Oryctolagus cuniculus: one gene and its partners. The protein of the gene in region 4 interacts with the protein of the main gene of each other region in a biochemical or structural test. Links are inferred from orthologs where the notes say so. Each region holds a gene or a part of one and is shown on either strand. Other genes may lie near its edges.

The links.
Region 1: of the proteins of EP300 (region 4) and MAPK1, one has a biochemical effect on the other in vitro, tested with the Homo sapiens proteins (2 studies listed by BioGRID). The link is inferred for Oryctolagus cuniculus from reciprocal best matches to the Homo sapiens genes EP300 and MAPK1.
Region 2: the proteins of EP300 (region 4) and APEX1 form a complex in vitro, tested with the Homo sapiens proteins (4 studies listed by BioGRID, with this or other methods). The link is inferred for Oryctolagus cuniculus from reciprocal best matches to the Homo sapiens genes EP300 and APEX1.
Region 3: of the proteins of EP300 (region 4) and SUB1, one has a biochemical effect on the other in vitro, tested with the Homo sapiens proteins (2 studies listed by BioGRID). The link is inferred for Oryctolagus cuniculus from reciprocal best matches to the Homo sapiens genes EP300 and SUB1.
Region 5: the proteins of EP300 (region 4) and GABPA form a complex in vitro, tested with the Homo sapiens proteins (2 studies listed by BioGRID). The link is inferred for Oryctolagus cuniculus from reciprocal best matches to the Homo sapiens genes EP300 and GABPA.
Region 6: of the proteins of EP300 (region 4) and KAT2B, one has a biochemical effect on the other in vitro, tested with the Homo sapiens proteins (4 studies listed by BioGRID, with this or other methods). The link is inferred for Oryctolagus cuniculus from reciprocal best matches to the Homo sapiens genes EP300 and KAT2B.
Region 7: the proteins of EP300 (region 4) and GRIP1 form a complex in vitro, tested with the Homo sapiens proteins (2 studies listed by BioGRID). The link is inferred for Oryctolagus cuniculus from reciprocal best matches to the Homo sapiens genes EP300 and GRIP1.

Annotation. Positions count from the first base shown.
Region 1 is NC_091452.1:29,050,752-29,054,251, forward strand, and holds part of MAPK1 (mitogen-activated protein kinase 1), read left to right. Parts: intron 1-1,437; coding exon 1,438-1,554; intron 1,555-3,500. UniProt on the Homo sapiens protein: Serine/threonine kinase which acts as an essential component of the MAP kinase signal transduction pathway. MAPK1/ERK2 and MAPK3/ERK1 are the 2 MAPKs which play an important role in the MAPK/ERK cascade.
Region 2 is NC_091443.1:54,294,492-54,298,439, reverse strand, and holds the start of APEX1 (DNA repair nuclease/redox regulator APEX1), read left to right. Parts: upstream 1-1,148; 5' UTR 1,149-1,285; exon of another isoform or gene 1,286-1,464; intron 1,465-1,611; exon of another isoform or gene 1,612-1,613; 5' UTR 1,614-1,681; coding exon 1,682-1,739; intron 1,740-1,954; coding exon 1,955-2,142; intron 2,143-3,462; coding exon 3,463-3,655; intron 3,656-3,789; coding exon 3,790-3,948. Other genes in the region: OSGEP (tRNA N6-adenosine threonylcarbamoyltransferase), read right to left, coding at 642-756.
Region 3 is NC_091445.1:58,700,015-58,704,188, forward strand, and holds the start of SUB1 (activated RNA polymerase II transcriptional coactivator p15), read left to right. Parts: upstream 1-1,374; 5' UTR 1,375-1,509; intron 1,510-3,957; 5' UTR 3,958-3,958; coding exon 3,959-4,030; intron 4,031-4,174.
Region 4 is NC_091442.1:117,159,742-117,163,925, reverse strand, and holds the start of EP300 (histone acetyltransferase p300), read right to left. Parts: upstream 2,801-4,184; 5' UTR 1,620-2,800; coding exon 1,526-1,619; intron 1-1,525. UniProt on the Homo sapiens protein: Functions as a histone acetyltransferase and regulates transcription via chromatin remodeling. Acetylates all four core histones in nucleosomes. Histone acetylation gives an epigenetic tag for transcriptional activation.
Region 5 is NC_091435.1:20,152,970-20,157,006, reverse strand, and holds the start of GABPA (GA-binding protein alpha chain), read left to right. Parts: upstream 1-1,237; 5' UTR 1,238-1,376; exon of another isoform or gene 1,377-1,905; intron 1,906-2,208; exon of another isoform or gene 2,209-2,788; intron 2,789-4,037.
Region 6 is NC_091435.1:155,767,391-155,770,890, forward strand, and holds part of KAT2B (histone acetyltransferase KAT2B), read left to right. Parts: intron 1-539; coding exon 540-748; intron 749-2,028; coding exon 2,029-2,155; intron 2,156-3,500. UniProt on the Homo sapiens protein: Functions as a histone acetyltransferase (HAT) to promote transcriptional activation. Has significant histone acetyltransferase activity with core histones (H3 and H4), and also with nucleosome core particles.
Region 7 is NC_091442.1:68,865,628-68,869,730, forward strand, and holds the start of GRIP1 (glutamate receptor-interacting protein 1), read right to left. Parts: upstream 2,801-4,103; 5' UTR 2,160-2,800; coding exon 1,907-2,159; intron 1-1,906. UniProt on the Homo sapiens protein: May play a role as a localized scaffold for the assembly of a multiprotein signaling complex and as mediator of the trafficking of its binding partners at specific subcellular location in neurons.

The DNA of each region.
Region 1 (3,500 bases), on a different chromosome or scaffold from region 4:
GCGCCGGCACACCGAGTTCTAATCCTGATCGGGGCGCCGGATTCTGTCCCGGTTGCCCCTCTTCCAGGCCAACTCTCTGCTGTGGCCCAGGAGTGCAGTGGAGGATGGCCCAAGTCCTTGGACCCTGCACCTGCATGGGAGACCAGGAGAAGCACCTGGCTCCTGCCATTGGATCAGCGTGGTGCGCCGGCCGCAGCGCGCCAGCCGTGGTGGCCATTAGAGGGTGAACCAATGGCAAAGAAAGACCTTTCTCTCTGTCTCTCTCTCACTATCCACTCTGCCTGTCAAAAAAATAAAGAAATAAATAAAATAAATAAAAGAGAGAGAGGGACAGAGAGAAAGGTCTTCCTTCCGTTGATTCACCCCCCAAATGGCTGCTACAGCCGGCGTGCTGCGGCCGATCCAAAGCCAGGAACCAGGTGCTTCTCCTGGTCTCCCATGCAGGTGCAGGGCCCAAGCACTTGAGCCATCCTTCACTGCCTTCCTGGGCCACAGCAGAGACTGGACTGGAAGAGGAGCAACTGGGACAGAATCCGGCGCCACAGGCGGAGGATTAACCAAGTTTCCCTTCCATGGCATGGAGCTCACGCCATCACTGCCCTCACATTCTGTGTTGTGTGGAGCACTCCCTGTCACTGCTCTCAACGTTTTGTAGCCTGGGCACTCGACTGAGTAGTATGAGTTAGACTTGGTTGACCTTTGGTGCAGCAGTTAGAAAAAGAAAAAAGGAAAATGAGACAAGCTGTCTTTTGACAGTCTTGAAAAGAGTTGTGGGTTTGTTTGTTTGTTTGTTTTTTTAATATTTATTTATTTACTTGAAAGAATTACACAGAGAAGGAGAGGCAGAGACAGAGAGAGAGAGGGAGGTCTTACATCCACTGGTTCACTCCCCCAGTTGGCCACAATGGCCAGAGCTGCGCCTTTGGGAGTAGATTTGACTACATAGAAGGGGAAGGAAGTGGAAAGCAACTTTGCAATAACTACTGATGGGCCAACGGGAATTTGAGAAATAGAAGGCAAGTGGGGGTCCTGGCAGTGATGATTCCAGGAGCCCCTGCAGAACAGGGCCAAAAAAGGGCCCCAAGTAGCTTCGTAACTTTAGCCAGAACCATTTTTCTCAATTCACCCAAGCAAGACTGTGGTGTGCTAAGCAGACAGTGAAAGCTAGGAGAGCCCCTTACACTGTGCCCTATTGATTCAGCCAGCCTGTTTCCTGGTCCCTGACGCGTGGAGCATCATCACTGCCATCCTGATTGTTGGGAGGATTAAATAATTGTGAATTTGTAGACTTGTCACCAAGTGTCTGCTGCGTGGTGATAGAAGAAACTACTTTTTGTATCATTGCTGTTTTCTGTTTTTATTTTTATGATGTTCTGATGTCAGGCTGTTTAGAATCTTTAAGACATGTCCTGTGTTTTGTTTTGTTTTCCCTCTCAGATCTGTGACTTCGGCCTGGCCCGCGTTGCGGATCCGGACCATGATCACACAGGGTTCCTGACAGAGTATGTAGCCACGCGTTGGTACAGGGCTCCAGAAATTATGCTGAATTCCAAGGTAAGGACCAAGTTTGCATAAAAAGAAAACCTTGCATGTGGGTTGTAGGAGGCCTCCCTCTCCAACCTGTTTCTACTTGCGTGGAGGCTTGGAGCCAAGGCACTGTTTTATCTCATCGTACTGCGTTAGAACTTCTGGGCCCTGGTTCAGCCACTGCACCGTGGCTGGGGTGGTGCTGACCTGTCCTCGCGTCAGGTTGAGCCTCCCGGTCGCTGTGACTGTAAGTGGTCTGTGTCCTGCCATTTGGTCAGTCCTGCCTGTGGAAGCTGCACCTACCAACACCACTGCCTGGGCATGTACCAGAGGCTTCCTGGTCATCTCAGCACCGAACCAGGGCTGTGCTGTCTAAATCAGCTGTACCTTTATAATGAGGAATGTCTCTTCTCCCTGAAGAAGACCTACAGCTCTTGTGATTCCTTCAAAGTTACATGGTACTTGTGTTTGCCAGGAAAGGGCCTTCCCCTGTGCCTCCACGTGGCTGTGGAGAGCGCATCCTGTCGCATCTGAGCTCTGCTAAGATCTGTGTGTCTCCTCAGAAATGATTGAATACCTCTGCAGAAGCACCAGAAGGCGAAAGGGTGACGGGTGTGTTAGGTTATGAGCAAGCAGGCAAAAGTTGAAGGCTGCCGTGAATACGGTGGCTTTTCATGCCTCGTTTGCAGAGAGCGTGTGAGCCAAAATTAGGTAGCTAGGTGGGCCTGGCATGGTTACGTTTGTCTGGTATCGCAGGACTCTGAGATTCCTAAGCACAGCCCCATCTGCTGGAAAGTAGTGTGGGAGGAGTCATGTGAACAGACATTGCACCGTAAGTCTGGGGCCCAGGAGCCAGGAGTGAAGTCGGGAGGCTGGGTGGAAATGGAAGAGCAGGGCTCCTAAGCTCACAGGCTCCATGCTCTTCCTCCGTCCTCCGCAAGTAAGGAGAAGCCGTTAGATTACTGTAGTTAGGAAATGGGATTATTTAAAGCAGTTATCCCTGATAACCTACATTTGTTCATTTTAGTTCCAAAAGTAAGCTCATTAAGATCAATTCCACTAGAAAGAAGGATTTGGTGTAACAGATGTTTCAGAGAAGAAAGTGCTGTGTTGACTCTCATAACTGTGTTAAAATAATCCCACACAGCAGGTTGCATCTCCAGCCAGCCGTGGACAGTCGTTCCTAGCAAGGGGTGCCCGTGTGTCTTTCATCTGGTGGCTACTTGGTCTCGTGTCGCCATTCCATCTTGAGGTGCCCCAGTTGCCCCCCAGGGGGACACAGCCAGACAGGGTGGGCTCTCTGCATGTTCCAGAGGCTCTCGCCCCTTCTACCTATGGGCTTACTGTGTGGGAACCTTTGTGGAGATTCATTTACTTGTAACACCTCTAGCCTAGGATCATCTTTCTAGTGACGTGTTCAACTTTATTCTTTTTTTTTAACTTAAAAATCTTTAAAGCCCATAGAAAAACTGAGAGTACAGTGACTGCCCCTGTACCCCTCACCTTCATTCCCCTGCCGTTGGCATCATACCCTTCCTTCCCCTTGCTCCCCACCTTTCTCTCCTCTCGTCTTCTCCGCGCTCTCCTCTTGGTCTGACCGTCTTCACTCTGCACCAGCCTGGTCCGTCACTTCACTCGTGCCCCCTTGGGAAACACTGATACTTCTAGAAAGGGGGTGTACTTCCCTAAAGCCAGGGAACCCTTAGCCCACCTAAGACGATCAGCATTCACTCAGCGACATTTTTGCAGAACACAGGTAAGCTGGTTTGTAGAACCACGCATGTTGTGTAAGTACCACAGCAGTGATGCTTTGTTCCTTCTCTGTGAAGTGCATCAGAACACACCTCTGCTTGGTGCTGTGTGGGTGCGTGTCCATGTTGGTTTTAAATTTCCCTTTATTTAACTTTGGCCAAAAACAAAGATTATTTTGGATTTTAAGAGGGGCCAGCATTGTGGTGCAGCAGGTTAAGCTT
Region 2 (3,948 bases), on a different chromosome or scaffold from region 4:
TGCTGATGTGCACCCTGGCAGGGAGCAGATGATGGCCAAGAGTATGAGCCCCTGCAACCCATAAATGGGAGACACGGATGGAGCTATTGGCTCCTGGCTTCTGCCTCACTCAGCCCTGGCTACTGCAGGCATTTGGGAAGTGGACCAGTAGATGAGGTTCTCTCTGGCTGGCTGTCACCCTGCCTTTCCAGTAGATAAAAATAAGCAAAAAGCAAACATTAAAAAGTGAAAAAAAAAAAAGTCAAGAGTATCCCAATACCAGTCAATTCTATCCGGTACCTAAATCCTAATTCCTTCCATCTTCACGTCTCTCCTCCGCATTTTACAACATTTTGAGTCCATCTCTATTACACCACTCATCACGCTGTTACAATTCGTTTATACATTAGACTCCAGGGTAGATTTCTACAAGTTTATGAGGTCTTGGTACGCAAAAAGCATTCAATGAAAGCTCGACAACCCCAGAAGATTCAGGTCCAAGCGCCTGTGGCTCTTCCACTCATCCGCCTTCTGACAATAACATCACATAACCTCAACGAGCTGTAAAATGGGACAAAATTCCCCGGGCCCCATTCACTGGTGTTCAGGGAAATAGGTGATGTGCGCGGGGAAGGTCGTCGCAAATTAAGTCCAGGACTCACCTGTGCCCGGAGGCGTGACATAGGTCCGCCGCGGGTTGGCCAGCACCTTGCCATCCCGCACCACTCCCACGCCAATCTTGTTGGCGCTGCCTTCAAACCCCAGCACCGTCGGCATGGCGCCGCCTGAGAGAGAACGCCAAGGCGCCAAACACCGAGCCGCGACAGCCCTCGGCGGGCGGTACCGGCACGCTGTTGGTAAACAGTAAACCGCGCCCGGACACCAAAACCTGCCGCGGGGGCAGTGCCCGCGCCTGCGCCTGCGCCCGCCGGCGACCCACAAGGCCCCTTCCGGAACCTGTCTCCGGAGCTGCCGGGAGCGCTGAGCCGGCCTCTGCGCCGGCCCTGCCTAGTCCACTCCCCCGCCTCTCTCCTGCGGCCCAGCCCAGTCGCTGCCACTGAGCTTCTGCCCCCTCGCACGGCGCCGGCTCCTTCGGTCAGGGCGGCAGAAGGAGCCGTACATCAGGCACGAACGTGAACAGCCCAAGAACGGAGCCTTGGGACCTTCAGCCCTCCGCGGAGTGAGAGGGGCGTGTCAGAGTCTCCGTCACGTGGTGGCAGACGGCCCAATCACGCGCGGCCTCGGGTCACGTGACCACGCCAGTTACCCACGTGGGCGTCCAGCGTGCTCCCTTCTTTGTGCTCGGGTAAGGAGCCAGGCTGGGGCAGGAGCGGGGCAGGAGCAGGTCAGGTGCAGCGCTGCGTTTTTGCTTGTTGGAGGGGCCTCCGCTAGCTGCCTCACGGGACCTTTAGTAAAGGTCTCCCGTTGGCCGTAGAGCGGATCTCGCGGTGATTCAAACGCTCTATGGATAGATCTAGTTGGGGAGTGAAGCGCCGAAGGCCTGATGCACCGAGGCGGGGACAGGATTCAGAGATTATGTGGTTTGAAAGGCGGGACTTAGTGCGGGGGCCGTCCAGGGCAGGAGTTTTCTCCCCAGCCTTCGCCGGCTGAGTCGTATATCTTTGCATCCTTAGGCATCGCGGTGAAGATACTGCTTCGGTGGTCGACGTGGTTCGGGTGCCGAAGGGCGATCGTTACAGGCATGCCAAAGCGAGGGAAGAAGGGGGCCGCGGCAGAAGACGGGGAGGAGCCCAAGACGGGTGAGAGTGAAGCGGCCTCTCCCTGCCAGTCGCGGTGGGCGGGGTTGGGGGGGCTGCTTCTGAGTCCCTTGGCGAAATGTTAGCTGTGGGCCAACTCATAGCGGGCGCAGGAGAGGAAGTCGCGCTAACCGCAGGGTCGCGGTGCGTTTGCCTTGGACTCTGACTCGATGTTGGAAACCTCCAGCTCTTATCCCTACGTATTATTCTCGTTATAGAGCCAGAGACCAAGAAGGCTAAGACGGCAGCGAAGAAAAATGAAAAAGAGTCAGCAGGAGAGGGCCCCGTGCTGTATGAGGACCCCCCAGACCAGAAAACCTCACCTAGCGGCAAAGCTGCCACACTGAAGATCTGCTCCTGGAACGTGGATGGGCTTCGAGCCTGGATTAAGAAGAAAGGCTTAGATGTGAGTGGAATTCAGATTTCATGCTGAATGGTCTCAGGGCTTCATTAGCGTCTTTTCATTTTAATGCCCAGGATGTAACTTTTTTTTCTCCTTTCTTTTCTTGTGGGAGAAGTACAAGGGGCAAAGGGAAAGCAGTAGAAGATGAACCAAGACTTGCTGGAATGTCCATTCCTTCATTGCCATTGCCAGTCTTACTAATGTATCCTTCCTCCGACTGTTGCAAAAACCTCTGTGCTGGCCAGCCTCCATTTTAGCTCCAGAATACCCTCCATTCCCAAATCTACTGCTTAAAAGTCTTAGCTGCCCTTGTGATGGCTCTAATGTTTCATCCTGAGCAAGCCAGACAGCATAAAGGATTGTAAATCAGGTCTTCTGTTGGGTTCATTCCCACCTTTTCTTTTCTTTTAAAGATTTATCCATTTGTTTGAAAGGCAAAGTTACAGAGAGAGAGAGAGGTCTTCCATACAATGGTTCACTCCCCAATTGACTGCAACAGCCAGAGCTGCGCCCATCTGAAGCCAGGATCTTCTAGGTCTCCCACACCGGTGCAGGGGTCCAAGGACTTGGGCCATCTTCTACTGTTTTCCCAGGCCATAGCAGAGAGCTGGATCAGAAGTGGAGCAGCCGCTGGCCATTGCAGCCATCTGGGGAGTGAACCAGCAGATGGAAGACCTTTCTGTCTATACCTCTCTCTGTAACTCTTTCAAATAAACAAAATAAATCGAGTACCGGCCCTTCAGCAAGACCTTGCGCTTCAACGTGCTCAAGGTCACCAAGGCCGATGGCACCAAGAAGCAGTTCCAGAAGTTCTGAAACCAACGCCCACCTGCTCCCCAGAGAAATAAAGCTATTTTCCCACTCAAAAAAATGGAGCAGCCGGATCTTGAACTGGCGCCCATATGGGATGCCAGTGCTTCAGGCCAGGGTGTTAACCCGCTGTGCCACAGCACTGGTCCCTGTCCCCACCTTATTAACAGTTTCTTCCCCAGAATTGTACTTAAAAACCCTTAACACCAGCCCCTTTGGGTTTTTTCCTCTCTTGGAAGTCCCCCTCCATGCTGTTGTGGCTGGATGTCTTTGACTGTCATAAATCTTGCTTTTTAAGTCTAAAAAACAACCAACAAAATCTTAGCTGGCTATCCGCTACCTATAGAAAAAAACACAATCTCTTAGTGTAGCATTTAAGATTTTTTTTTTACCTCCTTCCATTGTCAGTTACAATAATTGTCCAAGATTTGTGCTGCTACACAGAGCTGCTTATGCACATGTATTGAGTAAAAGTCTCCTGAGCTGATGTTTTTTCCCCTTTTTCACTCCCAGTGGATAAAGGAAGAAGCCCCAGATATTCTGTGCCTCCAGGAGACCAAGTGTTCAGAGAACAAGCTGCCAGCTGAACTTCAGGAGCTGCCTGGATTACCTCACCAGTACTGGTCAGCTCCTTCAGACAAGGAAGGATACAGCGGGGTGGGCCTCCTTTCCCGCCAGTGCCCGCTCAAGGTCTCCTATGGCATTGGTAAGAGCCTGCTGCCCCCAGTGCCTGAGTGCTTCCAGAACTGCTGATACTGTCCTGGCCCACTCCGATTCCTTTCTTCCCTGCCTTCTCTTCGTGCAGTTCTTTATGCTGATTCTGTTGCACTGATTTTGTAGGTGAGGAAGAACACGATCAGGAAGGCCGGGTGATTGTGGCTGAATTTGATGCGTTCGTGCTGGTAACAGCCTACGTGCCTAACGCGGGCCGTGGTCTGGTAAGGTTGGAGTACCGCCAGCGCTGGGACGAAGCCTTCCGAAAGTTCCTGAAGGGCTTGG
Region 3 (4,174 bases), on a different chromosome or scaffold from region 4:
CCTGTGTAACTCCAGGCAACTTTTACATTTTTTAAAGAGATTTATTTTATTTATTTGAAAGGCAGAGTGAGAGAGAGAGAGAGAGAGAGAGAGAGACGTCTTCTATCCACTGGTTCACTCCTGCAACTGCTGGAGCTGGGCCAGACCAAAGCCAGGAGCCAGGAGCCTCTTCCAGGTCTCCCACGCGGGTGCAGGGGCCCAAGCACCTGGTGCATCATTGGCTGCCTTTCCAGGAACATCAGCAGGAAGTTGGATGGGAAGCGGGGCAGCCAGGACTTGTATCTATGTTCTGATTTGGGATGTCGGAGTCGTCCTAAGAGGTGGCTTAACTTGCGGGACCACAATATGCCCTGAAAACTTATTCGTTTTAAAAACGATTTATTTAGGGCCCACTCTTGTGACAGAGCGGGTAAAGCTGCCACCTGCAATGTTGGCATCCCATATGGGTGCTGGTTCCTGTCTCCGGGGCTCCACTTCAGATCCAGCTCCCAGCTAATGGCCTGGGAAAAGCAGCAGAGTATGGCCCACGTGTTTAGGCCCCTGCATCCACGTGGGAGACTTGAATGAAGCTGCCATCTGGGGAGATACCCAGTGGTTGGAAATCTTTGTCTCTCTTTGTTTCTGCCTCTTCCCATCTCTATAACTCTGGATTTTCAAATGAGTAAATTAAGCTGCCTTTTTTTTTTTTTTTAAAGATCGATTTCCAACCACTTGTTCACTCCCCAAGTGGCCTAAAAATGGCCAACATAGGCCAGGCAGAAGCCAGGAGCCAGGGACTTCCTGGTCTCCCACCTGGACCATCTTTTGCTGCCTTCCCAGGCACATGAGCAGGAAGCTGAAGCTGAGACACCAGTGGAGCTGCAGGCAGCGGCTTACCCACTGTGCCCCCCCTCAACCCCCTTCTCACTCAGCGGTTGCTTGGTAAATCCTGGTTGAATAAATAGGCATTCAGCAAATACCCTATTCACCTGGTTCCCGCTTATGGTGCGGATCTTGCTGTGAACTTACGCCTCAGGACTTCCATTTAGGGTAAGTGCTGGTGGCCAGAGCTTCTGCAAAGGCTCCTTGCACTCTCCAGAACCAAAGGCTGACACTTTGGCTTCCTTCTTGCAGATAGGAGCCACGGCAGGGAGACAGGGTTAGGGTGGGGTGGGAGGAGCATCACTTTTGGGAAAACTGGTCAGAATGTTGATCTTTTCAGTACGCCCTCCCAATTCAATAGAACACACATTGAAGCAGTGGAAAGCTCAGTGCTTTCATGGGCCTCCGCATTCCCTCAAAGGTATCACCCAACCTTTGTGGCACCTCTTTTGAGAGACCATTCTGGAAGAGAGGCGGTCCCTTTAAGGCCCTGGAAAGGGTCTCGGTGTCGGTTTCCGCGAGGAGGCCACGCCCCGTCACGTGTGCACGGCTCCAGCAGGGCAGGGCTAGAGGCTCTTGGCTGTCGTCACTTCCGCTTCTCTGTCAGTCGCGAGCGAGTAGCAGAGTGTTCGGCCGCAGGGACGGAGCGTGAGTATGCGAGCCCCCCGCCCCCAACCCTTGGTGCCCCGACCCGGCCTACCCCCAACCTTGGACGGCGAGCCGCGAGCAGCCCGCCGCCCTCCGCGTCCCTGCCGGCGGTGGGAAATGGCGGTTCCGGCTGACCTCCCCCCTCCCCGCCTCGGCGTCCGTGAGCCCCCTCCTCCGTCGCCGACCCCCTGCCCGACGCGCCGAGAGCCCCTTCGCGCCCGAGGCCTGCTCCAGCGATGGGAGCAGAGGCGGCGGGCGTGGCGGCTCCGGGCTTCAGGGCGCGGCCGGGCGGGGGCGGGGAGTCGCGGGGAGGGTCCCGCGGACGCCCCCGGGACAATGCGGCTGCGGCCGGGCCCCCGACGGGGACGCGCGTGGGGCCTGTGGCTTGCCCCGTCCTCCTTGCGGCCCCGGCCCCTCGCTGGTGTGTGTTGAGGGGTTCACGGGGGGGGGGGGAGAGCGGCGGCGTCGGAAGGGGGTCGGCGGGGGAGAGGAAGGCAGGGTGGCGGCGCGAGGGGGCAGAGAGCGAGCGCTTCGAGAGGAGAAAATGGCGCTTGGTGCAAGTCCCTCCTCTCCTCACGCCGTCTCCTCCGCACTTCGCTGCCTCCCACGCCCCCTCCGACCGAACCTGTCTCCCCTCGCCCGGGCGGCCGCCAGTCCCGGCTTCTAGCAGCTTCCTGGCAGGAGCGAGTCCCTCCCCCGCCTTGGCGCTTTCCACGCCGGTGTGGCACCGAGTCCCTGTGCCCTTCTGTCCTAGTTCATTTTCACCTCGTTTTTCTTGATCCTCCCTGAGCCGGCAGGCAAGGACCAAGGGTCCTCCCCCCACTTCTCGTTTAAATTGCGTTTTGTGTGTATTCTGTGAGAACGTTCTTAATGAATTGCCTGTCCCACCATTTTTTGGAACAGTAAAGCCGCTCATTACATTAAAAAAAAAAAGTGTATTACTGAAAGTTCGAAGAACTGGGCTTAGTTGCCGTTACCTTGTTGTTACCTTATTTAGATTAAATAGGAGGTGGGAGTTTGAAATGATCTTAGGCCTCCAGGCAGCTATTACTAAACGGTGATAGTTGGGCTAGACCATTTTAAAGTGAAAAATATATGTTCGACTTGATTACCTTTTCAAAAAAGGCATTTTGGCAGTTAAAGTAGCAGCTGGCGTAAAAAAAAAAAAAGATCTAAATTTGTTTTGTAGACTAGGTTGTAAAAATGGAGCAGTAAAAGGAAAAAAAAAAATGTACCAGCTGTGCTTTGGATGTCGCTGTTCCTCTCTGAATTTACTCTTCTGGTCTTCAAGCAGTTGCCGGTTAAAATCAACATGGCTGAGTTGGGCTGATTTGGGCTTTTTGAATTTCATGGCCAGGATTGGGATGGCCCACTTCTTTTACCTTGACCTCTTATTGTGGAACACGTTCAATGCCAGGGCCTGCACAAGTTTAGTCTAGAGAGCTGGATTTTGATTTTTTTTTTTCTAAAAGGAAACTGAAGCCTTTCCCCCTTCCAGACATTCAGAGTTTGTCTTTATTAGGCCCTTAGTGGCATACAGAAATTAATAGGACCCATTCTCTTCTGAGATGGGGAAAGCAAAAGCTAAATTGAGAATTGGCGCTTTAGCACCTGGTATTGAGTGCCTTGCAAAGGCGGGCTCACGGGCCTGGAGTTTCTTACAACTGGGGCTGAGGTTTATTGATAGTGCTCTCCTTCCCCTTGGCAGTAAAGTCCAGTTGCAAGTAAAGTACTGGGCTGTGAACCTCTCTGGGGAGGAACTGGGAAACTGGATGGTACCAGTCGCTCTCATAAATAGATTCTTCATGATTTAAAATGATATTCAGGAGTAGAAAATAAGTGTAAAATGGACTGAATCACTCTGAGTTAATATGTAACATTGTGAACTCTGAAATAATACCTGTTATTTTGATGATATGGCCAAAAAGTCAAAATTAACATAAGAAATAGGAGGAAAAGTCATTATGACAAAGTTAATTAGATACCGCATCAGCATTGTATAGCTATTCCCCCTGTTGTACGAATAAATTCCTTGCAGTGAATAATTCTACATTAGTTTCTGCTGTCATTAGAACTATGAAGCACCACTGAGTGAAATTGTTTGTGTTTCTTTGGGTTTTAACAGTAAATGTTAGCAGCTGCTTTCTTACGATCACCCTACCCATAAACTGCTAACCCCACTAAAGTGAAGTATAAAAAGATCCATGGGCTTTGAGGTGGGAATGTGAGTGTGAATGTTCTCTTTCCTCACTGGTTCACAATATTTTACTGTTATTTGCAACTTAGGAGAGTGTAGATTTAAAGCTTGTGCTCAGCAGAATGATCTGTGTATCACAAAGTGGTAGAATGAACCGTACGGTGTGTCGATGAGTTTTAAATGGGAGGAAGAGCGTAGTTGAGGTAATAGGGCAACTTGTAAATTATTTACACAATACATTTTTCTTTTAGAATGCCTAAGTCAAAGGAACTTGTTTCTTCAAGCTCATCTGGCAGTGATTCTGACAGTGAAGTTGACAAAAAGGTGAGTATTACTACACTCAGTCATTTTTGTCGTACTTGACCCATCAATGTTGCCCACATCTAATCCTGAGGAACAGTGAAAGGCATGCCCGAGTATTTATTTATTTATTTATTTATTTATTTATTTGACAGGCAGAATTAGAAA
Region 4 (4,184 bases):
AAGGAACACAATACTATGTGTGTGCATGAATTCTGAAGTAAAAAAAAAAAAAAAATCCTCAAAGACTACAGAAACACAAGGTTACCCACACAAGCTGATGTTACAAACCTTAGGTGGAGAACTGCAAGATCCTTAGCTGTAATCTTTTTCAGGTTAACAAACTCATGTCTTATGATGATACATCTTTCTTAAAAAGCAACAAATTCATAGCATGCTATAATCCTCCTATTTTCAGCCTTTAAAATGAAACCTACTTAGAAACGAGCTCTAGAAGTTGTCTAACCAACTTCTGGGGTGCACTTAACTCCATTATGCACTCGCACTGGCAGCCAGAGGGATGACGTTCTGGCGAGTTACGGGGATGCTCCACAGTTGGGGAACAGCCTGTGGACTGTCAGATGGCCAGCCATTCTTCTCTTCATTACGCCGGCATCTCAAACAACCATGACAGCCAAAGAGAAGGTCGGTGGCCATCAGGAGACAAGCGTAAGAGAAAGAGGAGGAGGATGCAAGAGGTCTCCCTCAACTTCTCCTAACAAAGGGATCAGTCCACAACTGACTAAAGCAAAGAATTCATAGAGCTTTGAAACTGAAATCTCCAACTCCAGAGACGTTTTCAGGGGAAGAGGACAAAACCACACACAAACCAAAACCTACAGCATATTTTAAACTTCTGTACAATCAGTTCAAGTTGGAGTTCACGACTGGAACACTCAACTTCGTTCAAACTGGATTCCCAGGGACGTTCCTCCGCAGAACCGTCTCTCCTTTTTGCTTTCGTCCAAAGTGAAAAAGTGACTACAAACTGCAAGAAAAGGCCTCGCATTCCCAACCTGAAAACCCAGAGTTTCAGACATTTTGGTCTGACACCGAAGAGGAGGGGGATGTAAAAATGAACTGCGCCCCATATTGATTCTCAGAGCAAACAGAAAAGAAAGAAAAAGAAAGAAAGCTGAGAGTGATGGGTAAAATAATTCGGTTCAACTTCACATCAAATCTGAAATCTGGATCTCACACAAATAAAACCAAGGTCTTTTTTTTTTTTTTTTTTTACATCTTATTCCTGCTCAGATTATCTTGTGCAACGGAGAGAAAAAATTTTGAAAAAGAAGAGTGGAAAGTAAAAGGAAGAGGTAAGTACAATCGAGGAGAAAAGGCTCGCAAGTTTTCATCTACCACCAACAAAACACATTCAATCTAGAACTACGTAAAAGCCCTCACACACAGAAGCATCGGCATTCCCGAAATTGAGTGCACGGGGCAACAATAAGGGCCGTTTCTATCCAGCGAGCGCTAATTCCAGAACACACATCGGTTTGACATAGTGTTGCAACCAATGTATTAGGAGGCCAAGAAAATGGTCGGGCTACTGGACGTCTTCGACCAGCTCATTCAAACACCTTTAAAAATTAATTGCGGAGCAGGGAAGTGGGAAGAGAGGGAAGGGGGGACATATACGCATGTAACATGGAAGAGGGAAGGTGCACCGGGCAGGAACGCGAAAGGCTGGGGCCGGAGGACTAACCTGTGCCGTCGCTGGCCGACGCCGAGAGGGCCGGCGAGGAGAGTTTAGGCCGCTTGGCTGAAGGCGGCCCCGGTTCCACCACATTCTCGGCCATTTTTAATTCTTTCGGAGATACGGACGAAGCAGACGAGAATCCTCCGAAAAAAATCTCTTCTTCGGCCCGGGGTCCCGCCCCGCTCCCCGCAGTGGGCTCGGGGGGCTCCGCCGGCGGCCGAGGGGGGTGGGGGAAGTTCCTTTTTCTCTCCGCCGGGTCGCGGTGACTGGAGAGGGATGCGGACTCGACAGAAAAGGTAGGGGCAAGTGCGAGGGGCCGGGCCTGCGCCCAGGCCCGAGCAGGGCAACGGGGGCCCAAACCCGCCGAGCGCGTCCGCTGCGGCGAATTCCCGAGAACTCGCGGCTCTAGAGGCGCAGTCCCCGGCCCGCCGCGGCCGGCCCCTGCCCAGCCGAGGTCTCTCGGAGCTCCGCCGCCGCCATCAGCCTCTTCCTCCTCGGCGCTGTCCTCCTCCTTCTCATCGCCACAAGGAGGCGGGGGCGAAAAGGGGGGAGAGGAGGAGGCGACGAGAAACACTCACCTCCTCCCGGTGCCCCCTCCCGGGCCTGCGCCCCCACCCGCCCAGCCCTCCTCCTGCCGCCGCCGCCGCCGCCGCACCGGCCCCTAATGGCCGCGGGAAGCTCGCCCGAGCCGAGAGCCAGGCTGGCGCCGCCGCCGCCTCACATCGCGCGGCGGCCGGCGGAGGCGCGGCGAGGACGCCCGGCGCGGAGCTCGCCGGCCCGCAGGGCCGAGGGGGCCGGGCCCGCGCCGAGCCCACCGAGGAGGCCCCGCTCGGGCGGCGGCGCAGGCTGCCTGCTCTCGCGCTGCGCTCTCCTCCTCCTCCTCCTCCGCCCTCCTCTCCCGCGGAAAATAAATAAATACGGCCGCCGCCGCCGCGGCCCCCACCCCGGCCGCCAGGTGCCCGGAGCGCCCGCCCCTCGGGGCTCCGCTCGGGGCCGCCCTCGACGGCGGGCGAAGGCGCTGCGGGGCGCGGGGTTATGTAATGGTCCCCCCTAGGCGTCGACGCCGGGCCCGGCTGCCGGGCCGCGCTGGGGGTGTGTGCAAGGCGGGAGGGGGCTGGGGGTCGCCTCAGCCCGTGCGCCCCGGGCCCCCTGCCACTGTCTCGGCCCTGCCGCCGCTCGCCGGCCCGGCTCCACGCCGCGCTCCTCCGCTCCCGCAGTTCGCACTCAGCCCGGCGTCCCGCTCGCCCACTCGCGCCCGCTCCCTCTCGCCCTCTCTCCCCCCCGAGCCTAGCACACAAACAAGATGGCGGCTGTTGTTTCTTCCCTCTGCCGAATCCTCCTTACAGGCTAGCGGTAGCAGCGGCGGCCGGAAATGAGCCAAGGGGGGGCGAAAAAAAGGGGCGGGGCCGCGCCGCCGGAGGGAGGGGGCGAGGGGCGGGGCCAGGGCGCGAGCCGCTCACACAATGGGGGAAGAGGAGCCGGGGGCGGGTCCTGTTCCATCACGGGATCCGCCCAAGGCCCCAACGCGGCTGGCGCTTCCGCAAACTCCCCCGGCGTCACTCGGTGGCTCCCTTTAAAGGGGAGGATTTCAAGGCGGGAGGGGGGAGCCGGGGGCGGACTCGGGATCTATTTTCAGTCGGTAGACAGTGACCGGGAAAGTGCCTGGGCTGGGTCTCCCTGCCTCGGGGGCCGGTGGCCGCGGGGGTGACGGAGCTGAGGCGCTACGCCCGGGAAGGCGCCAAGTGTCCGTCCGCGCAGGTGGCCGACGGGGAGCCTCCGTGCGGACGGCCTTGGGCGGCCGAGTTCACCCGCCGGTGGCCACCCGCCGCCCGGAGTTGGGGGCCGGAGACCCCAGCGCATCTTCACGTCGCCTTCCCCGAGCGTGCCCCCACCCTGCCCAAAATCACACCGGTTACGGGTTGTTTCCACAGTCTTTGAATTTTCCTTTTTTTTTTTTTTTTTTTTTTTTTTTTGGACAGGAGACGCGTGTGGTACTTTGATAATTAGGAAACAAACCAACCAAGAAACCCCGCAGTCCTGGGAGGATGCTTTAGGACCCGCCACGTGTCCCCCCCACGCCCCGACCAGGTGGGGCCCGCCCCGAAATACTTTTGTGGACATGCCTCGGCCCTGAAGAGAAGTTTAGGGTCTATCTTCCCACTCCTCTTGGGCAGGCCAGCTTAAGGAAAGATCACGTGTCTTACAAGATAATGTGTTTATGGGGGGGAGGGGAAGCGATATGCTAAAGGTAGTTTAAGGAGGGAGGCAGGAAACAGAAATGTGGCTTGCTGAACGTAAAGCCCCCAGCCCAGGAGCTGGCTTCCTCGTGGTGAAGCCGGGTTCCTGTGTTTGGCATTTGGAGAGTGAACCAGTGGATGGCAGATCTCTCTCTCTCTCTCTGCCTTTCAAGTAAGTGAAAAACTTTTTTTTTTTAAGATTATTTATTTATTTGACAGGTAGAGTTATAGACAGTGAGAGACAGAGAGATCTTCCTTCTGTTGGTTCACCCCCCAAATGGCCGCTACGGCCGGTGCTGTGCCAATCCCAAGCCAGGAGCCAGGTGCTTTTCCTGGTCTTCCATGGGGTGCAGGGCCCAAGCACTTGGGCCATCCTCCACTGCCTTCCCGGGCCACAGCAGAGAGCTGGCCTGGAAGAGGGGCATCCA
Region 5 (4,037 bases), on a different chromosome or scaffold from region 4:
CCAACTGAATACATCTACACCTGTTTCCCCTTTTGGCAACCCAAGGACATTCAGGTTCAACAACTGATCTTTGTTCAGACCTAGATACTGTGCCCATTACTTCCATATACATTCTTTCCTTGTGCCCCTACTGTGATATCCTTAAAGAGTTACAAGTGTTTTATCCCGCTTTACAGATGATAAAATTATGTTCAAGAAAAGTGATTAATCACCCATATTCCCATAACTAAGGTTGACTGCAAAGATGTGATTCCTACTGCAACACGGGTGGAATCTATTTTCATTTTTTTCAGTATCTATCATGTAGCTGCCAATGATTTCCAAATCACGTCTCTAATTCTAGTCTTTTTCCTGGACCCCAAACCCATATATTCAAAAGCTCTCAAGCCCTTGCAAGTTCTACAAACTCATCGAAAAAATGAACAGATACGCTCATATGAAAACTTGTTCCTTCCTTATTCCCTTTTCCCCCTCATTGAGTACGTGTGGATTGTCCACGATGTCACGCCTAAGACACACATAATTACACAAAGAGATTTAAAATGCCATTTGTGACAAATTCTCTATTCGAGTACCATCGGATGCCACAAGAGCCTAGGAAAGGGATTCCAAGTAGGACTGGGAACCTCAACACGAGGGGTTACAGCCAGCACGCAGGCCCCGTGGCGGGAGGGGGCCTGGTTCTATTTATAGTGGTGACTGACCAGCCAAAGGTTACCCAGCTCGCTGCCTCCTTCAGTAAGAGTTCCAAAAGCCAATCACAAACATTTCAAGCAGGGCTTTTAAGATGACCACTACCCTGTTCCCTCTTAGGGTGCAGGTCCTGCCCCGCGCTTTAGTGCCGGAGAATCTCACGCGCGCCTCCATCAGGCAGGCGGGGCCGCGACCCCATCCCGCACATCTGACCTTGGGCTGTCCCTGGCAGGCCGCGGGCCCCAAGACCCCTCGGCCTCCCGCACTCCCCCGGTTTGCCCACAGAGGCACTATCCCTCATTTACTGGGTCTGCGGCACTCTTCGAAGAGCAGAAGCGCCGAGGTCAGCTGTGACCCCGAGCCAGGCCCTGAAGGTGCTAGGGACACAGGACTGCGCTGCCCTCCCAGTAAGGCAGAGGTGACGGGCAGCCTAGGCCGTGTGAAGAAACCCAGAACCGCAGTCCCAAGAGACCGAGCTGGTCTAGTCACCCTCCCAGTCACCTTGCACTCAGCCCCGAGCTGCCAGAACCGCCGCCGCCGCCGCCACCGTTCCACTTCCGGCCCTGACTCCGCCCCCACACGCCTACCCGCCATCGAAATGCATTATGGGCCGCCGTTTCAGTCGGTCGGCACTCACCGGACAGGAAGCGTCTCGGAGGCAATCTGCGACCGGACGGCTCTAGGTGAGACAGAAGCCAAACAGGAGGAGGAAGTGGAGGGTAACTGCTTCCGGGTCCTCTAGCGAAGCCTCCGCCATCTTTCCTTCGCCTAATTTGACCCGTTCGCTTTTTCCCTTCTGGAAACCTTACTCTACGCATGCGCACTTCGGCTGGCCTGTCCCGAGTTCAAGCTCCCCCCCTCCTAGGCAGCGTCCTGCTCTTTAGGGGTTGTTGGGGTGTATGTGAATGTGCAGGGAAAGTGAGAGTGTGCGAAACACGCGGATTGGGACGTGGCGCCTCGTGCGCCGCTTGCGCTCGTTTCCCGCACCCTGCTGGGAGTTGTAGTCCCGGACCCGGGGGAGCCTGGGAGGCGGGAGGGGGTTCGGGGTTTCTCGGCGCCGATTCCGCGGGAAGGGCCCAGGGGCCTCACACTTGGAGTCCTGGGAGCTGCAGGGCTCGGCCCGGAGGGACGCTGCACGTGGAGCCCGCGCCTCTGCCGTTCGCAGCCGGCCCCGGAGCGCGGGCGAGAGCGCCAGGGCCGATTCCGGAGCGGGTGAGTGCGGCCGCGGGGGAGGAAGGGAGCGCGGGCCCGCGCGGGCCGGCCTCGTTCCGGGGCCTTTTCCCCCACCGCGGCCCCCCCGCGGCCGCCTCTGTGTTTTGTTTCCGCTGGTCCCCGGCTCCGCGACTCCCATTTCCGTTCGTGGAGACTTGAGGGAGCGGGGAGGGGCGGGGGGCGCGCGGCGCGGGGCCCCGGAGCGGCGCGCCTGCTGCCTCCCCGCGCTTCCCGGTCTCCTCGCCGGTTTGTGCGCGGTGGGCCGCTGTCCCCGTGGTCGCGGTTTGGGTCGGACGCCCCGGGATTTCGGAGGAAGTTGCAGACCCAGTCTGCTTCGCCGGACTCAGCGATTCACTCGCTTCAGATCCGCTTAGGTCTCCGTGCTGTCACACTTGCTCCAAAACCGTACTGTTGACGATAATGTCTGCTTGGGGTTTTTGTTTAAAAACGAGGAAATGAGCTAGCGAAGAGCTAATGTACCTTGCCAACTTTTATAGTGTTTCGTGCAATACAAGATACAGCTCCGTGATCACGTTTGGATTCAGGGCTCCGAGTTTGGCGCGGATAACGACAGAGCAGACAGTGTCTTAATACTGCATAGCGAAGCGATGAGTAGTAATTTAGAAATGAAATTCTGGTCACAAGCAGTTCTCGCCGGTAGAAATACACCTGACTCGGAGATAGCAGATTAGCAAGAGTTCCCATGGACCGCGTGGAACAGAGCAGTGAGAACATTCTTAGGTCATGCATTGCCTTAAACTGAAGAATAAATTGGTCGACTCTTCAGCAACAACTTTAAAGGACCCGTTCTCACTCAGGCTTTGACTTGTTCGTTTTCAGATACATCCTGCCACTGCATAAACAAGTCCATCATACCTGGATTGTATGTAACGTGACTTTATGATCATATAGTCATAAAGCACCTAATTAAGCCAGTTAAGTTGGAAGCAAGTCATGAGAACATGGAGAGGCCGAATATTAAATTTAAACTTTACTGTACTCTTTCCCCCAGCTCATTATTTATAAAACTTTAAGCCCGGGGTTGGCGCTGTAGTGTAGCGGTTTAAAGCCCTGGTCTGCAGTGCTGGTATCCCTTATGGACACTGGTTCAAGTCCTGGCTGCTCCACTTCCTATCCAGCTCCCTGCTATGGCCTGGGAAAGCAGAAGATGGCCCAAGTCCTTGGGCCCCTGCACCCACATGGGAGACTTGGAAGAAGCTCCTGGCTCCTGGCTTCGGCTCTGCACAGCTCTGGCTGTTGTGGACATTTGGGAAGTGAATCAATGGATGGAAGACCTTGCTCTCTCTTTGCCTCTGCCTCTCTGTAACTCAGCCTTTCAAATAAATAAATAATTCTTAAAAAAAAAAAATCTTTAAGCCTGTAATAAAATTGAACCATATAGTGAACACCCGTATACCCCTTACCCTAGCCTGGGGTGGGAGTGGGGGTCATCATTTATTAACCGCTCGCCATATTTGCTTTTTCCTTTACATGGCACATGCCTGTATGCACACATACAGAGACTTTTTTTTTTTTTTTTTTTGACAGAGTGGACAGTGAGAGAGAGAGACAGAGAGAAAGGTCTTCCTTTGCCGTTGGTTCACCCTCCAATGGCCGGCGCGCTGCGGCTGGCGCACCGCGCTGATCCAATGGCAGGAGCCAGGAGCCAGGTGCTTTTCCTGGTCTCCCGTGGGGTGCAGGGCCCAAGCACCTGGGCCATCCTCCACTGCACTCCCTGGCCACAGCAGAGAGCTGGCCTGGAAGAGGGGCAACCGGGACAGAATCCGGCACCCCAACCGGGACTAGAACCCGGTGTGCCGGCGCCACTAGGCGGAGGATTAGCCTATTGAGCCGCGGCGCCGGCCAAGACTTTGTTTTTCTTAATGTTAACTTTATTTTTTAAAATAAAAATGTGTTAAAAATATTTGTAAGCTAGGGAAAATGAGCAGTTGACCATGCAGGTACTCATCTGGACTGCACTTACATTTCTTTTTCCTGCATTAGGAAGAATGGTCCTAAGCTCTGTAAACTAATAATGTGAAGGACAGTCCTCAAATTTGTATTTCAAAAGGGAATTACATGTATATTTTGAAGGACACTAGCCTTTTTCAAAGTTTCTAGTTAAATTTTCA
Region 6 (3,500 bases), on a different chromosome or scaffold from region 4:
ACTTCTTTCCTGAACTTTTCCCTCAGTCCTTTTCCTGGGATCATGGTCCTTCCTTAGTTGCTCTGGTTCTTCTCTGTGGTAGAGGCAAGTGCAGGGCCTCTGTCCACCATCTTGGCTCCATGCTACACCTATTCTTGGACTTATTGTCTGTGGCTGCTTTTGTCCTGCAGCCAGAGTTGAGTACTTGTGACAGAGACCTAATTGTTTGCAATGTCTATGATATTTTTTATCTGGCCCTTTATAGAAAAATTTGCTGACCCTTAATTTTGTACCAGATTTCATCCATGTACACCTGCAGTACTTTAGTTTCTCAAAGTGCTTTACCTACCTCTTCTATTTTGTCTTTATAACTTGTATACACGTGAGTGTACCCATGTGAGTATGTGTATTGGTAAATGCACATGTGTGTGAATTTAGGACCCAGAAAATCCACAAATAAGTATCTTACTAGAGCAAAGAAGAGAAGGTTTGCTGTGTTCCGTCCACACTGTCTTAAGAGAGTTAGTCTTTGTGATTTTCTGCTCTCTTCTCTATCCCAGACCAATTTTCTGTCAGCCCATTCAGCAAGGGATGAGGCAGCAAGGCTGGAAGAGCGCAGGGGTGTGATTGAATTTCACGTGGTTGGCAATTCCCTGAACCAAAAGCCGAACAAGAGGATCCTGATGTGGCTGGTCGGCCTGCAGAATGTGTTCTCCCATCAGCTGCCCCGAATGCCAAAAGAGTATATCACGCGGCTCGTCTTTGACCCGTAAGTTTTGTGTTAGCTCTTCCTCCTTCTTTGTTTCCTTTTACAATGGAAGACAAACTACTTAGATGGTGAAAGTCTGCCACAGTCTACCACAGAAGTCTCTTCTCCCTCCTGCGATGATGTGCTATGGAGTTTCATCAAGCTGATTTTCATGTCAAAAGGTACTGCAGTTGATTTCCCCACAATTTACACATTTTTCTTTTATAAATATTTATTTATTTGAAAGGCAGGAAGACAGAGAAAAAGAGAGAGAGAGAGATATCTTCCATCACGGTTTACTTCCCACATGGCCACAAATATTTGTTCACTTTATAGAACTCCATGCAGGTCTCCATGAGTGTCTGGTGCCCAATTACTTGGGCCATCTTCTGCTTCTTTCCCATGCACATTAGCATACAGCTGGGTCAGAAGCTGGACAGCTGGGACTTTAACCAGCACTCCCATATCAGATGCCAGCATCTCAGGCAGTGGTTTAATGGGCTGTGCCACAACTCCAGCCTCTATAATTTCTTGTTAATGATGATGAAGCTTTATATTTTAAGTTTTTTGGTGACTATGCTGTGTTCGTTTACTATAGAGTAGAGAGAACTACACACTAAGACGATATCCCACTTTTTTTTTTTTTTTAATAGTCAAAAGGCTTCTAGTTTTAATACCTTAACTAGGTTTCATTGTTGCCCATATTGGTAAAAGTTGGGAAAATTATTGAGAAATAAGTCAAATTAACTCTGCAAATCCATTGTTTTAAATTTTTTTTTAAAACCCTAAACCCCAAATTGATTTATTTAAATGTATTTTGACATATATAGCTCAACAGCCTATGTGGACTCTGATCTTCTTGTGTGACAATTCAGAATGATACTTGAGACAGAGAGAGGGTCTGATGGGGGTCTGGCAAACTGTACATGTGAATTTCATATTCTTCCATATTGTTTCTGTAATATTTTTGACTAAGGCTAAACTTGTCGAGGACATGTGTTTGACCATTGCTTCATGTCCGCCCCTGACCTCCCACCCTGGGGTCCTTGGTGTGGGGGCTGCCAGTGCCACAGTACTCCATGCACACTCTGTTCTCTATCTGTAAGCTGCAGATGGTTCCTAGGTGACTGGTGTTTTGTTGTGGTGGGCACTGTGAAGAAGGCTTGTGCTGGCAAGCTTGATCTAAGAAGCCCAGAATAAAGGATGGTCTAACAAGATAGTGACCAGATGAAGGCATACCCCTAAAAATATATTTCTGTAATGTGGATAGTAAAACTTTAATGTAATTTTATTCTTTTCAGGAAACACAAAACCCTCGCTTTAATTAAAGATGGCCGTGTTATTGGTGGTATATGTTTCCGTATGTTCCCATCCCAAGGATTCACAGAGATTGTTTTCTGTGCTGTAACTTCAAATGAACAAGTCAAGGTAAGAGTAATCCAAGGTCTCAGAAGAAAAGGAGAACGTGGGGCTTCTTGCTAGAGCTGCAGAGCTTGGGAAGTTCTCTGTGCTGTGTCCAGAGAGGGCTCCAGTAGAATTCAGGACTACACTCACTGCAAGTATATGGATATGTTATGTGAGAATAGGTGGCTCCACACACCACTAAGTAAGGCTGTACCGTGGCTTTGTTGGACCTTGGGGCAAGGTACAGGGAAACTGTATAACCCAATGTGAAATTTACATGTAATTCAGCAAATGAAAGGATATTTGAAATAAAGCTCAGTTTTCATTTTCATTGTCAGTTTACACACACACACACACACACACAACTGGTAACACTGAATCATTAGAAAGGGTATAATTGATGTGGACTAGGATAAAAATTTGGCCAGTTTACACTTCTCAAAGATTTCTTAAGACTTTGTCCCTTGTCTGTAAAGGGGAGTTGTGGAAAATTTGCATAAGTTTATGATTAAATTTTAGAGTATTCATGGAGGTTTTGGCATGTGCTGGAATTTTTTTTAAATTTGTTTTCTTGTTTTGTTTCTTTTTCATGTCATGGTTTACCTTCCCAATAGTTCTTGGCATCAGTCCCTCCCTGGGAACTGTAGCTATGATTTAATGTTTTTTTTTTCTTAAGATTTATTTATTTACTTGAAAGAGTAACAAATACACAGAAAGAGAGAGAGAAAGAGAGAGAGAGAGACAGAGGCAGATCAGAAAGAGGTCTTTCATCCTGTGGTTCACTCCCCAAATAGCTGTAACAGCTGGAGCTCCGTGCTGCAGGCAGGAGCCCGGAACCCCACCCAGGTCTCCCATCTGAGTGGCAGGTTCAAATCAAGTGGATTTTACCCTTCTAGCACCCTTCACCTTGGACTAGCCACAGTTCAGGTGCTGGCAGAGATGCCAGAATTGAAACAATGCAGGCTTAAGGACATCTTTGGCTCCTTCGCCTTCAAAGAAGCAATGCTATTTACATAAACCAAAAATAAGTCACTGAAAGGGATTATTCTGTACTTGAGGGTGACAACCAATGCAGTTGGTACTTTTGCTTTCATTAGTGGCTTTTTTTTCTCAAGTCACAGTGCCAAGTACAGCTGCTGTGATGTAGTTGTTCTCACAAAGCACAAGTGGAGCTTTTTGTCTTTGACTTCTAGCATTAAGTACCAAAAGGCAAATGCGATTCAGCAGCCTTACGTTTATCATTCTGACTGGGGCAGTAAAGACCCACGTTTGCGTGAAACGGATCTCTGGCTTCTTTTCAAGGAATTCTGACAGTATGTCTTTAGATGGTGCTGTTGCTGTATTTATCATTTTTTCTCCTTAACCAAAA
Region 7 (4,103 bases), about 48 Mb from region 4:
ATTTACATTTCCCTGATTGCTAGTGATCTTGAACATTTTTTCAAGTGTCTGTTGGCCATTTGGATTTCCTCTTTTGAAAAATGTCTATTGAGGTCCTTGGCCCATCTCTTAAGTGGGTTGTTTTGATGTTGTGGAGTTTCTTGATTTCTTTATAGATTCTGGTTATCAACCCTTTATCTGTTGCATAGTTTGTAACATAATATGTTTATAATGAAAAAATTGGGAACTCTATTTACCTTTATGAGTAATTGTCAAGAATACCACTGATTGTGGAGTTAATAGCTCCAGAGGATATGGGGAAAAAGCAACTGCCTTTATCTGGCCTCTTGTTTGTGGATTCAAGAAAAATCAAAAATCAAAAACTCTAGTTTTAATGATCTGTGATTATTTTACTGTGTATGGGTGAAATGGTCATTTTTTCATTCAATTATTGCTTACAGCCATCATCTATATTCCCACTCACCTAGGGCCTTTTTGCTTTGTACTTATTAAACTTCTTATTTGGTGAAGTATTAATCTTTTTAACTGTAATGTAATTTTAAAATATGCTATCTCAAAAACTTTTTAAAAAAGGAAGAAGGTGGGAGGGAGATATGGGAGGGAGGAAGAAAGGGAATAATATTATGTTTTGGAATTGTATCTACAAAGCACATTGAATTTGTTAAATAAACATAAAAAACATACAAAATGAAAAACTCTACTATCAAACCTCAACAAAATAAAAAAACAACAAAATCCTTGTCATTGTAATACTGACAGTATTACAATGCTGCCTGTCCTTCAGTTGCATAGACATCATGGGCACTTAAACCACACTTTCATGCTCAGTCCCTGTATCATGCCTCCCCACTTGTCAAATAGTGTTCAACAGTCAAACCAGACGAGTTAGCATAAAGAAGCATGATTTTTCTCTTGTGTACAACTATGTTACTTTGTGAGTCCTCATTTAGCTCTATGTTTTTTTTTTCATTTAATAAACAGGAAGCTGTTACACCTCTTCTTACTCTGCATATATCAAGTATGGCATACAGTAATATGCTAAGTTGTTATTATAGTCTGACATCAATCAGTAAATATCACTGTACATTTGTAGTTTCCTAATATTCTCTTATGGACACTAACATATGGTCTTAAAACTATGTCTAACAAAAGAGTAGGCATTTTTATTGTTGGTGTTAGTATTTCTGATTCATCCAGTTTTGGTTTCATGATAAACTTGTTTCAGCTTTTACAAATGATATTCTTAAAATGAGAAATACTAAAATATTGGTGTGGCCCAATTTTATTTTTCTGTCACCTACATAATATGTAATTTTAAAATTATGGAACTCATAAATTCAATATCCTCATCTTATTGACAAGAAAACCAAAGCCCAGAGAGACTCTTCTTATACCCTGTCATTAGCAAAGTCGGATCCAGACCATGTCAGTCACCAGATCTCTATCACATTGTTATTTAATTGTGCTCCAAAGAACCCAAGAACCCTACGTCTGCAACAATTTACAGAATGTTTTCACATTCATCTAGTTCCAACAATGACCATGTGAAGTGATCATCATTATTATTTTACAAAGGGGTATCTTTGGCTTGCAGAATTTACATGACTTTTTTTTAACATTTTCAAACCCAGAAACCAGAGCTTTAGACTCCAAATCTGGAGTTTGCCTCTCTGAAATTACTGCAGCAACTTGTATTTTAAAATTAATTCTGTAATTTCTCTGTTCAAAAGAATCCATTGCTGAAAAAATTTTAGAAACATAAGATTTTATAACAACCTTATAAAGAGATTCATGAACTACTAGACAACTATTTTCTAAGAAAACATATCTTTTAGGACATATACCTCTTAAGACAACAGCTTTCTATACATAATTAAACATTGAACTCAGAATGATGAAAGCTTACCACTGTTTGACTTAGCAAGAAATTCAAGAGGGCTCTGATCCTGGTTAACCTTTGTATCATTAATATCAGAAGGTTCACAGCTTAAGTGAAAATCATCAATGTAAGCAGCTAGGGCTTCGGAGGCAGAGAAAAATGACTTTCCTTTATATTGGATGGAACCATCAGTATTAAAGGAGATGCTGTTCAGGATTAAAGTTGCTGGAAGATAAGGTTCAGAAGAGCTAAACTGGTGTTTCTTAACTGACTTTGCCATGGCTTTCTCAAAATGGGCAGCAATGTCCTTGCATCTTTCAAAAAACTCTAAACACAAAGAAAGGTATACAAGATTTCAGTTAAATAGAACTAGAGGACAATACTCTTGGCATCCTTGCTAGTCTTTCATCACATATAGCTACTTTTTATAAGTGAAACTACTCTATCCCCCTTAATGCTTTATGTATACTGGGCATTCAACAATGTTGATTGACAGTAAGTTTCATGGACATGGCTGCACGTATAAACTGTATTAGAGAACTCAGTATATGAGCCTTACTAGGTGGAAAATAAAAGAGATGTTGCTTATGTTTATTTTTGGTTTTATGCAATTGAATGAGTAGTTCTGGAATCTTGGGGTATTTTTATTTGCTACATTAAAACAAAGCAAGCCTTCAGAATCATTTTCATTTTCATTTTTGCACCTGTCTCCTTCCCACTGGTCAGACAGAGAAAATCATAAATGAAAACAAGAGGAGAACAATAATTGGCCCTGGCACAAGAGTGATGGCAAATAGAAACCAGGGAACAGGAAATTAATGCTGACAAGGAGGAGGGGTCCTCTGATCTTCCTACATTCTGGCTTTGCCCTAAGAGTTTAATAAAGGAGATCTTTTCATTACCACCTTACATCAATTACTGAGTCTTCCCCCAGATTATAAAAGGTTGTTACTAGGCTGGCGCCGCGGCTCACTAGGCTAATCCTCCGCCTAGCGGCGCCGGCACACCAGGTTCTAGTCCCGGTCGGGGCGCCGGATTCTGTCCCAGTTGCCCCTCTTCCAGGCCAGCCCTCTGCTGTGGCCAGGGAGTGCAGTGGAGGATGGCCCAGGTGCTTGGGCCCTGCACCCCATGGGAGACCAGGAGAAGCACCTGGCTCCTGGCTCCTGCCATCAGATCAGCGCGGTGCGCTGGCCTCAGCGCGCCGACTGCGGCGGCCATTGGAGGGTGAACCAACGGCAAAGGAAGACCTTTCTCTCTGTCTCTCTCTCTCACTGTCCACTCTGCCTGTCAAAAAAATTAAAAAAAAAAAAAAAAAAAAAAAAAAAAAAAAAAAAGGTTGTTACTATTAGCACCCTCAATTTCCAGATGAGAAAATAATGATACATGAAGATTAAGTAACTTGTCCAAAGTAGTAGAGTAGTTAAGCAGCAGCCATCGTTGAACCTCAAGAGGTTCTCAAGCTTGAACTTAAACTATCCATTGGTCCAAACTGACCACTGTCTTGTGTGCTGGAACAGCCCATATCATCTGTTCCCTAACTGCTTACCACAGTTAACATGCCAGCAATGAAGTTGGGTGCCCAAGTTCTCTAGTCTTTACCTTCTCTAAAATGCCTTAAGTTTCTATTGCTATTTGTGTGTGGAGGGGGTGCCAGTCATTTGATAACAATATTTACATAACTGTAAAGAGTAAGTACTCACTTTTTCAGTTCTTTGATATTCGAGTGGATACACTGTGTTTTCAGAATGTTATATTATGTGACCTCATAATACCTATATTTTCCATCCATGGGATATTTCTTGGTCTTTCCAATGTAATGGAGTTACACAGAAACCTTTGAGAATCAGGAGAAAATCAGGATTCATCTTCCCACAAAAATGCAATTTGGCTGGTAGATACAATGAATTCTAGGACTCCTGAGACTCATACATGTCCACCTTTGTATGAACCTTTGATGAAGAACTTTTGTCTAAAGGATGTGATAGAGGAGGGAATAAAGAGAAAAAAGGCCAACTAGGAAAAGAAGGATAAAAAGATATTAATTAGATTGAGACGAGCTAAACTGACATCATATGTTCTTGCAGCTACGATGATAAATACCTTCTTAGTAATTCAGGATCACAATCATCTTTCTTCCCTCTCTGTATCTAACAGTATGAATTGGTTACTATCACAGATGAAAGACAGTGAGTTTTTGAACTAGGGAGCTCAAGTCAAACTCAGT